Drosophila melanogaster: one gene and its partner. The protein of the gene in region 1 interacts with the protein of each later gene in a pairwise test. Each region holds a gene or a part of one and is shown on either strand. Other genes may lie near its edges.

What was found. Proteins that work in one complex are often made in the same cells at the same time.
Region 2: the proteins of lbl (region 1) and CG13131 interact in a two-hybrid assay, tested with the Drosophila melanogaster proteins (one large-scale study listed by BioGRID).

The regions. Positions count from the first base shown.
Region 1 is NT_033777.3:21,430,946-21,438,152, reverse strand, and holds the start of lbl (ladybird late), read left to right. Parts: upstream 1-4,019; 5' UTR 4,020-4,185; coding exon 4,186-4,888; intron 4,889-7,207.
Region 2 is NT_033779.5:10,013,816-10,021,022, reverse strand, and holds the start of CG13131 (uncharacterized protein), read left to right. Parts: upstream 1-3,559; 5' UTR 3,560-3,691; coding exon 3,692-4,859; intron 4,860-4,913; coding exon 4,914-7,207.

The DNA.
Region 1 (7,207 bases):
AGTAAGATTCGGAAATATGTTCCTTATAGAAGGATTGCGTAATTGGGGTAGCATTTTATGATAATAAGAGTAAGTTTTTATATGTTTCATAAACACTCAATCCACTTCATTTGATTTGATTCAACCCGCTATTAATCACCCAAGCTGAATATCTTCCAGTCTTGGTGGTTCCCCACTCTGGTAGCGACTAATTTATATCACGATAAGATCACACGCTTGAAGCCGCCAAAGCCAATCACATTCCCATCTTGATCGAACCCTCGATCCCCCTCCCACCCGAAAACCCATCAAAATCAGCCACTTAGCCCATCTCGCAGGGAACACACACGTAGGCGCCTCCAGCAGCAGGTTCTTCAGTGTCCGTCAACGGAGCTCGGAATTCGCCGGACACGTTCGCGGACAAAGCTCGATGCTATGGGGCCCACTTAATACGTTTGATGGCAATAAGTTGACGCCAGCCGCCACAGTTGTACCGCTACATCACCGATAAGGCGGCGGACGGCTATTTGGAAAATCAAAAGATTCACAGCTCCTACAAACAGAGGGAAGTGTTAATGGATGTCACTTTAGTCGGACCCCCCCTCCACACTTTTTGGCTTGATCCACCTCTGGATGACATTAAGCTTCATCAGACATTCAACCCGATGCTGAATTAGCATACAAATTACACACGAGCACTAGCACTCAAAAATGCTTGAAGTTTGGGATTTTCGAATTTTCGGTTTTCTGACCACAACAAAAAGCCGACAAATTTCGCCCCAAACTCTTCCAAGTGGCAAACGGCTACCGATTTTATTATTGATAATGTTTTGATTTATCACAAAGATATACAAATTGCCACTGCCCCAAACTTCGGTTGAGGTCCATTCTCAACCGTGCCGCAGGGCGCGGCACTTTTGTGTGTATCTTGTGGATAAACGCTGGGGCATTTCATTCCAGGCCATAATTTTTATGCGGTAGCTCGAAAGTCGGTTGTTGGTGTCACTTCGTGCTAAGTTTCATCGTATCTGCACAGAGAGAAATTGTGTGATTTATATCTCTTTCTTTTATACATCGAAGATGAAATTGTAATTACAGATATGCTTCGTTTAACAGATACATATAACTGTTGTAGAATTATTTTAGATATCCAACCTGATCGATAAGGATTTAGATTCATTTAACAAAATCGGCTTGTAATATTTTCTCTCTGTGTGGTCTTGCGGCTTCGCCAAACTACTTAAGTTGAGGGATCTCCGGTGCTGGTCTTAATAGACAGACGGATCCGATCCGCATTGACAAATGTTGTTCGTCGCGTTCAGTAAATTGTTTTCGACATTTTCGTGTCGCATTTGTGGTCGAAATCTGCATAATGAGTTGGCAAAACGCTGACAGCTGTCCCAAGTGTCGAAGATTACTCGATGATAAGGCGAGGATCGCTTTGGCCATAAGCGCATTCGTCACAGATTCTCCTTCTTCTTTCGGGCGCAGCTGAAAGGTTGAGGTTGGCTTGAGGATAGCTGCGAACTGGCTATAATTGGCATGCAGTTTTGGGAGCGCTGAGCGCTGATTGTTGACAACTGGCTGGCACAACTTCATCATCGTCAGCCACGGGAAGCGAACTCGATCTCGAGCTCTGGTGAGGATCGGATCGGAGCGACTCGGCAAAACAAAGGGCGACATTAATGCACTGCCAGCAGCACTCTCGAAGTCGCCGAAGGGGCGTGACGAATTTGACACAACGGCAATGACTTTATTAACAACTGACTCCTGCTCCGACATCCCCGATCACCCTGGCAGAAGCCACGGCTCAAACCCCCGTCCATCCCCGCCCCGGGCAATATGACAATATGACAATGTACACAAATACACGAGGACCGTGGTGAAGAGAGCTCTCCGGGGATTTGGGCTTGCCAGATGCGACAATAAACACTTTTGCTATTTATGAGGTTTAAATGAACACGGGTCCGCCATCTTGGGTCGCCTAATGAAAGGATATAGAGCCGATACATTTGGCTTATGAATTTGCAGAATTAGAGGCGTGTCGGATCGGTTGAATGGGAATGGATTTGAGTGCCGGCTCGAGTGGTTCGCTTCCTAGGGGCGATGGCTAATTATGATTGACAGGGCGTGTCTCGTCTATTGAGGCGCCCAATTAAGAGTCGTTTTATAATTGATTTTGAATATGAAGGCAATAGCGATAGCGAATGTTCCCAAGCCCCGTCAATTTCTCACTTCCAAGGCAAGCGAAAGGAGAGAATGCCCTGGCTCGTCAACTTTAGTCAGTCAAGTGTAGGCATTAATCAAACATCGCGGCCATCTTGCCACCAAAATAGGGGGCAGTCGAAGGGATTGGAGAAGGGCCCTTATGCAAATTCAGCGTCATAAATTGCGATGTAGGGTTCGGGTAAAATACATCTAAACAACACCCTTTCAAGAGACTGAATAAACTGGATTTTATATTAACATACTGTGCTACTCATTTTGTCAGCTGGGTACCTGTGTACTTTTGCTGGATCAAGTTATTATTTTGTAATTTTATACGTTAAACATTAAAAGCTAATTTGCCCATACTATGTAGTGTAAAAGTCCAATTTGTTGTAAGCCCTTGATGAGCCCAATAATCATTGGTAATTGATGCTCCGCGCTTTAATAAACAGATACAAACACAAATTTGTTGAAATTGCCACTTCCCCTGATTTCTTTTCCCATCTCGAAATAATCAATTATACTCGTTTTCAAAGGGCAGTGTAGAACCCATTATCGATTACGGCTCGCCAGTTACATCATTTCACTTAGCCGACTCTTCAGTCACATTCCCACCGGCAAAGGGCGCAATGCAGTTAAATAGACATTTGCATGCAAAATTCAAGGAAAAGCGAGAAATAAAAAAGAAAACCAGGACAAACAGCGGAGCGAAATTGAATAAAAAACTGACACTGACAAACAAACGAAGCGAGGCGCATACAGGGCGCATACGTGATACAACGAGCGGACCAAAGTTGCAATCAATTTGGAAATGCATTGAGTTGAGCTGTGGAGTGGGAAGCGAGGGAAGTGGCAAGACAAACGAATGTGTGCCAGCAAAATGCACTTAAACAAATGGAAATATAAATGGGAAAATATAAAATAATATAATCATAAATTGTGTGTAGAGAAACTAACTAACTAACAAGATGCAGCTAGTTATTAGATCTAACAACGATCTCAAGTTAACAAGTAATAAATGTGAAGAGCAAAGTAACTGTCATGTTGTGCCATTTATAGGTTATTACTTTTGAGGTGCAGAATTCGTTCGCTTTTTAATTTATGTTGAGGAAGTTTGAGGGAGAAAGACATTTTTACATTACTATAATATTTTTCATAGGCACATCTATTTATGACAAATAAACCTCTTTCAAAAAGACGTTCTTGAACGAAGGATTGTCAGTTCGGGGAACTGTTTTTCCCAGTGCATCAGAGGTCTCGAAACACGGATTCGAAGAGGCTTGTTTTTCCAGTGGAAAATAGATGAGGAGTCGAAGCCAACGGTACAACGAGACATCATTATTGATGACAATTGAGTGGGCCAAAAGAGAGCTGCGAAAAAGCGGGTGAGCCAACAATTACGATAATTAACGCAGTCAGTCGCCTGGAAAGCGACGGGAAAGAGAGGGAAATAGTGCCGCCCCAGAGAGAGAGCGAGAATGAGAGAGAGAGAGAGAGGGAGGAAAGAGAGCGCATGTCAAATTGTACAAATTAATGACGTTCGCACGTTGACAGCGACTTTTGGTCGGGTGAGGGGGTCTGTATGGCCCTCGACCAACTGCTATTGGTCCTCTGGTTAGCTCTCCCTCTCTCCATCTCTCTCTTTTCTGCTGGCACGCCCCCTTGGCGAGAGCGAGGCGGCGTTTCCAATTAGACAAGCTGCGCAGCTGCGCGAGTCCGTGACGTCATGGGTGCCAACCAGTTTGGAGGCCCCAAAAAGCAGTTGAGAGAGCTTGGCCAAGAAAGAGAGACAGAGAGCCGAGCAGCATTAGCATCGCATTCTGGCCACGAGCCATTTTCGTTGTTGGTGTTTGTGTTGCACGTTGTGCCGACGTTTTTCGTGTGACAGCCGCGCGTTTTGCCGACGCGTTTTTAATCGCCCGTAGAAAAGAGTTTGGAGCTAAGCCGTAAGGATACAGCCAGGATGTGCTGAGTGGCCAAAGGAAAATACACCTAGAGATGCCGCAAAGAACTCCCAGTCCCGCTAACTCTGATGTTTCGGTGGGTTCGCCCAGTCCACCGCCTCTGAGATCGTTGAATATGAAACGATTGCGGCTTTTGAGGAGTCCTATTAGCCTGGAACATGACCGCCAAAAGTCATCACCCGTCAGGGTCAAGAGCTTTTCCATTGCCGATATCCTGGGGCGAGGGCATGAAGAGGATCGTGTGGAGAAGAAGCCGGAGAGAATTGCCATTCCCAATGCTTTACCAGGAGTACCTGCTCCATTGGCTCTGATCAACGAAAGATTGCAAATACCCTTGGTGCCGAATTGCCCTCCGCCGGCTGCACTACATACATTTTTATCGCCCGCTTTGCTCCACAGCTATGAGCAGCGACTGGCCTGGGACTACCAGCGCCAGCTCCAGGAGCACTTCCAGGCACAGGCGCAACTCCTCCGGCAGATGACCCTGAATCCCGCGATCATTGCCTCCGAGGACGGCAGTTCAGAGCGTTCCCAGCGATCAAGCAGCAGCAATGGCAGCACCGAATGCTGCAGTCCCACCCAGGCGGAAAAAGTGGAAAAACGTTCCCAAGAGGACAGAATGGAGGTTCCTAAGAAGTCGCCCGAGGAACAACCAAAGGGGGCCAGCAAATCAAGTGGAGACACTCCCTTGGATGCCCTCTTCCAGCTGTCCACCAAAAACTTTGACGAAGAGCAGGGTGAGTAGTTTTCAAGAGAAAATATATTCCTCTAAATCCAAACAGAAGAAGACTTTGCTTTTAAACTGCGGAACCCAGTGGACAACCAAAAATCATATTCTTCATATTTACTATATGTAAAAAAGTACAAACAAAATTATAGTGCAGAGATAATAGATATTTCATCAGCTTTTTCTCAAGTTTTATCAACACCCCTGAGTATATGAGCTTTTTGTTATATATGATTGGAATATCTTCAACATAAAAATATCCACAAACTGTAGAATTACTTACTCCGCGTTCACCTCTGTGTGCACAACCGCAATCAAATTACATTTTAATATAAACTGATTTCCCAACGAGACCCATCATAACCATTAGCCTGGCCAGCGATTGATCAATTGTTGTCATTACGTCTTGATGAGATTCTGCTTAAGGCGTAAAAACAGTAGTGAGGTCAGCCTGCTCGTCCGAGGTGGCTAAATCAATTTCAGGCCAGCCGGCTGGCAGCTCGCTCGGCATCGCCTTTGATGGCAATTGCCTTTCCCAGACCCAGACCCAGTCCCAGTCCCATACCCATACCCAGATCCACTCGAAGGCCCCAGCCCGGTCATATGATGATGCTCTAGCTGCGGCGAGCTGCTGCTCCAACTCGAACTCAGACTCCAGCTGATGGCTGATGTCTGATGGCTTTGGCGCATGCGTATCGTTCGGCATAATTTGCTTAGCGGCGTTGATTTCTCGTTAAGTCGCAGACGCAAACCGATTTATCCCACACTCGGAATAAAAACAGAAACTGCCGGGAGTCACTGGGAAAACTATTCCTCATAATATCTTCGTTTGGAAAACACATCACCTTGATACAAATTATTGTACAAACAACTAACTAAGAGTATTTAAAAATATCCTGAACGGAACATTTCTTTATTTATTATATCTGCAAATCAATTTCCATCATTTTTCGGTGTAAAACAATATTGGCCATGAATGTCTATTAAAATATCTTCCCACAGCGGCTGTCATATTTTTTCCGAGTGCACTGACCAGCAATCCATCAGCGAACCCATGGTCTGCGCTTTTGTTCATCAGCTACTGAAATTGAATTTACGCGCCGCACGTACATCAGCCAATTGGTTCGTGCTCCACTCTAGATTGCCGCATTGCCGGATTGCTGAGCTGTTGGGTTGTTCGGTTGCCACAGAGCCATCTAATCAGCACCAGCTGATTTGATCGGTTGATCAACTGCTACTGGCATTGAGTGCCGCCCGGGATGATTATGATTATCGCCGAGCTGCACTTAAGCGCCGCAGTTTGCGAAAATTGTATTGCTTTTTCCCAAGACAGCATCCGGTGTGGAAGTGGAAGAGAAGACGCGAGGTTGGCCATGGACTGAACCCTTTCTACGGCTGCCTCCTGCAATTTGCCCGGCTGATCAAAAGCCGTAACCGGCCAGTTGAGGGAAAGATCTGAGACACTTCCGCCTGGTAATTAGGAGCAGCGACAACTCCCATTGCAACGCCATCGTAGCCCCACTTGGGGCTTGGGCCTGCTCACCGCTCATGACGATTGCCGGCAGATAAGCCATAAAGAGGCCCAGGCAGCACATACAAAATAATTACAATGAAAATGGCTGAAAAGTTGCAGCTATTTGAACAATGGACCTGTCGTTAGGTCTTGTCAATTACGCGTAGATACCTGCCACATTACGTCACCGAAGAATGGGTACCCTTTAACACGTTTCAGCAGAGTCGAATGTTGCCAGAAGGGTTTCTTTCTTTTAGATCGTAGAACGGTTTCCTTACATTTTCTCAGTTAGTATGTAGAATTTCTATGGTTCCGCCAATTGAAAATGGAAAGTGGATAATTACTGGGGGAACTACCCTCTTACAGGGTATACCGGCAAACGGATGGCGACTTGGGCACAAAGAAAGCCCGGTCGTGGGGCGATCAGCACGGTCGGTGGCTGCCGCTGAAATGTGGGCTTGATGAAACGCCAAGACAATTGGCACAGACAGCCGCGTTATTGAACGCACAAACGGCACAGAGCGGCGGATGCATCCCTAATTACAATTTAATTACTAAAACTTTTCCCACTTGACAAAAAGGCGGCGGCCATGGCAGTTGAGGACCAGAACACCAGAAGACCCAAAGACTGCGACGCAGCCGAGCATGAACCACAAACGCACCGCAACCAGATACATTGACAGGCCCTAGACACACACACACACACTTCGGCCACAATGATGATGGCTCTTCGGGTTGACAGTTGATTTGACAGATAGCAGTGTAAACATTTTACAAAATGCGGGCTGAGGTCGCGGGGCGGGGCGGATCCAAATA
Region 2 (7,207 bases), on another chromosome or scaffold:
GTAGCTACGCCACGAAACATCCCTACACATAGTCGATGGAATTATGCAGTTCCCGGAGGTGTGTATTGAAGATTCTCGATTAACAGTCATTAAAGCGGAACGGATGGGATTTACATTCCTGGGCAAACGCTTGTCGAGCCATCAGATTCTATCCCATACCGCAATCAATCAAATCCCATCTAGGCACACATTCCGTCACATAGGGGAGCAATCAGGAGCACACCTTCACTTCTGCCACATGCAGACCACATGATCATCTTGTGCACTGAAAGAAAGCAGGCAAAAATGGGTCATTTTAATAAATATCAAAAGAATCTGATACTAGCTAAGCCAATCTAATTTGCAGTAATGAGATAGGAGATCATACGTTCTAAAACTGTCATTAAAGTTAGATCAAACTAGAGAAAAGGTTACGCCTATCAGATATCCATTGATTCGTGAATATGTTACTCTACATTATGTTCGCCGTGTGAATTGCACTTGCAAATCAAGCGCAAGTTTTGTGGTGCAAGGCACACGGCGTTCTTCGAAGGCAAACTTCGCCCCCACCACTTCAGCGGCATCAGGAGTCAGGTTCGTGAGTGGGCCACCACGGCGGATACGTGATGTGCCTGTGCAACAAACAGGAACTATGTATAATAATTGTGAGCGAAGGACACACGGAGTTTAGCAAGAAGTGCTCGCTTTTATTTGTTGAGTGCCTTTCAAGGTTGTCGTCTCGCTTAGAGATCCCAGACAGCGCTTTCCACTTATAAAGGTACTTCCCCCCTCCCCAAAAAAAAAAAAGCAAAAAAAAAGGTCGAAAAGAGTTGCATGCAATCACCAGTTGCAAGATGAGAAACATTAAACGGAAAATACGTTGTGATGGGACCTCAGTGCACTGAAGCGGGGTTACGCATGCGTAACACAACAGCCACGCCCACCGCCCAGCATTTTGTGGCAGAAACACTCCAACTCCAACTCCAACATTGAATTATGAAATGTGAAAACTGTGTTAAATAAGTAAACAGGGGATGCGTTTGTGCAGCACAAGTCCTGCTGAAAAATAGACACTGCCAAGTCACGTAGCCACGAACTGAATTTCATATTTCATGGGGCAGCCCAGCCGCCCAACCGAGTGGAAAAAAAAACAACGACCATTTAGGCAACCATCCACACCCACATACCAGCTCCACTTTTCGATGCTCATACCCAAAAGGACGCCCCATTCCAGCAGGACTTCGTGCAGCAGTTGCAATATTTGATCTAAAATATGTATGCTCGGGCGGAAATTGTTTTTGTGTTAAATGGCGGAAGCGACGGGGCATTGTAATTAAAATTTGCTTAAAACTTAATGGCAAGTATTTAATATACAATTGGAATTTACCAAAACGAATAGCATGTGGAACTGCTCGAGAATCGCTTTCGTAATTAAAGTTGAGGTGGAATAGCTGCGATTGTGGATAATTATATATGCAGTTTTTTACCTTTGATCTGTGGCGCGGTGGAAAAAAACAAAAAGACCATCAGCTACCGTACGCATTCAACGTATGCATTGCATTTTCCGAACAACTTTTCACTTTTTTCCTATTGCAAGCTGAAAATATAACACCACCCCTTCCCCCCCCCCCATCCTTTTGGCCAGAAGCAATCCCCACCATTGGCAACCCGGATTTTCCGCCCCTGCAGCTGCTGCCCTTTGACCCTCAACACTCGCACCGTTTTGCGTATGTGCATGCCTCAAATAGTTGCACCACACATTAAATTTCCGGTCGGGCGTCCGTTCCTTAAATGCAGAAGGAAATGCAATAAACGCCAAACTAAAAGCCACGCCAAAAATGTACAAAAATTACGGCTGGCGAAGCCAAAGCAAAAGGGGCATAATGGGTGGGTCCATGCCAGGGGATGGGGTCATGGAAAATGCCATCATGGCCAAAGAAAAATGCCGAAAATGAAATGACGCTAAAAGTATCGCAATAAAAACGCATTAAAATGCCTCACCAGGGAGTAAATAATTTCTGTTGCTCCAATCGCAGACATCGATTTGACTTTGTCGTCATGTACAGGGTAAGAAACGCTTTCCAAGATCAAGGACGAAATGTGATTATAAACCCAGAGGTATAATTAAAAAGTTTTTTATCTCAGAAATGTCAAAAAATTGTATATGCGAGGTTAAAGGTATCTTAAAATATGCTACGAGTATAGCACTATTTGAAACATCTTTTCAAGTGCTTTCAACATAAAGATGCAATAGTTTTGCAATGCATCAGTTATTGAAATGCAATAAGTTCGTATTTTTTTTTAAGTGTCCCTCGTAGTCGAATGTATTGAAATACAATCGATGCTGAACAATTAGGCGCCGATTCGGAGGGACTATAGTCTGTAGTCTGGGAATAATATTTTTATGGCCAGTGGCGCGCATAAATCCCGTCCAGCCGGCGTGTAATTCAAAATGGACAGAGGAACGTGCGACGGGAACTTGGTAATTCCCGGCAGGATATCGACTGGTTGCATAATTTATCGTCCTGCTTGATTTGAGTGCATAAAGTCGCTGCCCAACGCCTTGGCCTCAAACTCTCAAGTTTGCTCCTCAAAATCTGCTCAATGAGCCGAAGATGCAGAGCATTTTGTAAGGCGATGCGCTTTTAATGTGTTTATTGACTTGGCTTGGCCAACGGGTTGGCTCGATGATGGGCGGGAGATTAGGCCAATCCATCAAATGCTATAAAGTTAATTAAACAAGATGCTGCCGAAGGAGTCGAGAAATTGGGTCAAGCTGCATGCACCTTGCGCTTGCTAAATGCATTTTGCATATTTATTGCAGTAAAAATTGAAATAAATTCCAACTACGATTGAATGGCATAGTGAAGTGTGCTTGTCAATTATAAGTGTTAATACATATATTTGTAGATATGTTTGTGTGTGTGTGCTGTAATCCTTTTCCCCGAGCAGTAATTGCATATGAAACATGCATTTTCACTTAAAATGGCATGAAACTAATCTCCTTTTGCAGGAAGTGGGCGGGTATGCATACTATATTAAATAGTATTTTGCGAACTGTTGTTCTCGAAGGACGCTGTCTGGCTTTCAGCAAAATCTACTTTATTCGAACAACAGTGCAAAAAACTCAATAATACTCCATTGAATGCGTATATTAAAAATGCAGCAGAAACTTAATTAAATTTCCCAACTGAGTGAGTGGCTAGAAACACGTACAATCAGAGCCATTCGGCCACACAAACTTCAATTGCAAATTACAGAAGCCGCAAACAAAGACAATAGAAATTTTAATAATTCCAGAACATACAGCTTGAATGAAATTAATTAAGAATATAGTCGATTGTGAGTTCTGAAAGAATCAATCGGATTTAATGATTTAATAACAAGTTACTTTAAAGGCCGAAAAACTGCTGGTGCAAATGTATCAATTTTTTTAGCCTTTTAGCAGTTTTTTCGTCATTTTACCATCAATACTCACATAAAAAACCTAATTTTCGAAACATAAGCTCGAAATAGAGTTGACAAATATGTCTAAATATTTTAAGTACCCGTTAACAACGAACATATAGACTATATATTTAGGAATGTGTGATAAAACTAAAAGTTAAGAAAACATATTTGACGAAAATTGCCGGAATCTATGTGCCATTTCGTTGCTTGTTAAGTAAGTCGACCTGATTGGCCGTCTAAAAATCAAAATAGCTGGCTTTTGATGTTTCGCTTCTACAAGTTGTACTCGTTGTACATGAACAACATGACCAGTAGTGGAGTTGCATGGCCGCGGGAGTGGTGCCTGTGCGGAAAACTGCCGCGGGCGGTGCTCCACATCCCGGTGAACCATCGTCTGATCTGCCAGGTGTGCGGATTGGCCAGGCGCCCCCAGGCTGGACTCGATTCCTCCAGCGATAAGGATGCAGATCAGAGCACCGAGGAGCAGAAGACGATTATACCAGAGCCCAGCCACGTGGAGGAGCCCAAAAAAAGCCAAAAGACTCGGGTAAAGGTAACCATTAGGGGCAAGAAGCCGAAAGCCAAGAATTGTTGCCGGACAAATTGCCACAAGTGTGGTGGCTTGGCCAAAGCTGAAGTTGGCCAGGAAAGTACTGAAGCACCCAAAGAGATGAAGTGCAAACGGTACCCGGGGCGTCATGGCTTGCACTCGAAACCGAAGGGAATGATGAGTCGTCGACAGCTGGCGCCCAAAGCACCGCCACCTTCGACGCCGTCGTCATCTCCAACGCTATCGCCATTGCCTTCATCACCGCCATCGCCCACAGCACCACCACCACCACCACCACCTCCGCGTCAAGAATTGGAATCACCACGTTCGGAGATGCCAAGCCTGGTGGCCATGGCCCATAACGTTTTTAATCCAAAAAACAGCCCGCTACAGAACTACAACAATCTATTTGTCAGTAACTTTATACCCTTACAAAGTCCCATTACGGATACCTTCGGGGGAGCTATATCCAAGAGGAGCAGGAACAGCATTCGTCCACCACGCAGCCACAGGAGTCGCCCGCTGCCACCACTTTCCAAAGTCTTAACCAACATCTTGAGCAGCCAGAACTCGACGGATGACAGAGAGATGGGTGGTGGATTGAGTAGCTCCAATTGTAAGGACTCGCAATCGACCGATTCCGAGCTGGCTAGCCAGTTTTGTCCATTTGATCACTATGAAGGTCCATCCGAAGATGCTCTTGTCGTGAATAACGCTCGTTATATGCTTCATCGACCGAAATCACTGCACATCGAACCACGACAGGATTTGCGCAACAATCGCATTGAATCGTTGAACTTTCAGTTGAGCTCTACTAAGGACACAAAGAGTCCAATCGCTGACAATCTATCAGGCATCCTATTCATGGCGGATTCAGTTCGTAAAAATCTTAAGAAAACCATTGATAACATTGGAAACGAATGCCATATTTCAGGTAAAACCAGCCCAGCCAAGAACTTGGCCTCCAAACCGGCAGTTACTCAGCAGAACAATCGGGAAAATAAACCGGAAGCGTTGGAAGACTTCGAAAGATCTTCCATTTTAACCTCAATCATGGACAAAGTTTTCAGCTCACAGGAATCGAAAAGCTCAAATGGAAACTGCGATGATGACAAGATACCAGAATTGGAGGATATTAATAAGCCGATCAACGACATGTTCGTCGAGGACCCTGAATCGGTTTCTTTGAAAAGTAATGTATCAAATGAGCACAGTGTATTTTCTTCAAATAAAACAAACAACTATAATGATTATTCCAAGCCCGTTTCAAAAACACTAAGCATAAGCAATTCCATTTGGGAACGATTTTGTGATAACAAACCCAAATCGACATTATATAAGTGTGCTCGCTGCGGACAACAAAAGCATCGTGAAGATATAGTTGCTAAAATTAAAATAAAAGATAGTAGAATTCCAAAAAAATCCGATGCGAATCAAATATGGCTAAATAAAAAAATAGGATGCGCCATAAAGCAAAAGCTCAATAGCTTAAGATCCTTTTCTGGAGCACAGGAATGTAAAAAACACGAACACGAAGGGCAGAAATCCCTAAAACTAGCAGATCAAGGAGTAATTCCCGAGATTTTTAGAGAAACCCTACGTATGCAAAAACAAAAAGCTACGAATGACAAACCAAAAGAGGAAAATTTAAGACTGCAATCCATAAATACAAACATTCAAAGGAAAGCACAACGAATTTATCAGGATGATTCTTCGGAATCACAGACTCCAATAAAAGATCATAGCACTTCAAAATGTTTAAATCTACAAGAAAAAATAGATCATATCCCACCGAGGGATAACAATCCAGCCAAAGTAAATGATCAATCAAAGATCACTCCTTCCAAGATACACCACGAATGTCTTCAAAAACGACCCAGAATCGCACTTAAAGTTGTGAATTTAAACCAATCTCAAATATCGGATAATAACTTTCAATTACGTAGACATAAGGAGCCATCGTTCAACTGGGGAGTGATACAATTCTGCGAGACTGTATCTCATAGGAGTCTAGTTATCCCCAAAATACTGGTTCCTACTTATGTTGGTGAGTTGGTGAATATCGGTCAAGCCACGAAATGCTATATCAAGGAGAATATTCTTCCGGATGATCCGCCTTCGTCTCTCTTTGAGTTTCGCATCCCTGACATTAGTCCCAACGAGCTGCTATCCTATCGAAGTTCGGATAACATTAGCGGAAGCTGTACTCCAATACCTCATATAGCGAGTCCAAAGGAGCAACCTATAAACCACAAAGACCCGTGTCATTCTGTTGATCCATCTCCGCCAGAAAAATTCGAAAGTCGTAGCACTCTATACGAAAATCTTGAATTGTCGTTCACCACACGAAAAGCAGATAGTTTTAACCATCCCAATGACAAATTACCTGATTATGAAAATCAAAAGAGTAACAAATGCATGAAGGCAAACGAGAACAGAAAGTCCAAGTCCACAGAATTAACAGATGCTAATTTTAGCTCCTTAAGTGACAACAATATGAGCTATAAGATAGAATTAGATGGTTTAAGAAAAGAAGAGAACCCAATAAAAGAATTCAGTTTAAAGACTGACATTACGGCAGTTAGTAATACATTTACGAGATCTAAAGAAAATACAGAAAATTCAAATGATACATTTTTCCAGGAGAGCCGCATTACGTTACAAAAGTACAATCACTCAAAATTGAGCAATGCGATTAAAAAACAAATAGACAAATCCTTGCAACAGAAGATTAAAAAAATTATGACTAAACCGATAAAGTTGCTAAAATCGACTGATTCAGATTCAGTTGAAAAATTTGTGGAGCCATTTACAAACAAATTGAGCGCCTTCGATGAATATAATGCAAACTCTACACAAGAAAACTTAGAACTTGAACCAAATGTCATTTTGAATGAAGAAGAGGATATATCTCTTTCAAATTCCTTCACGGAATTAAGTTCAAGTCAAAAGCCATTACGTCTTATAGCCAACCTGCACTCCTCAAGTGACTCCGAACCAAAGTGTCTAATTGAAGAATCTAAGGTAGAAACTGATTCTGATGGAGCATCGGAACCGATGCTGACCTGTCGAACCACCGAGTATGCAGGATTGCCTCCTCTGAACTGGCAAGTAATCACAATGGGCTCAGCTCATCCAAAAAATATTATGCAGGATGATTTGGAGTCATCTCTGGTAGAAGAGTATTACTGTCCCATTCACATGTGCGGAAGCCTTATAAAGTCGAAC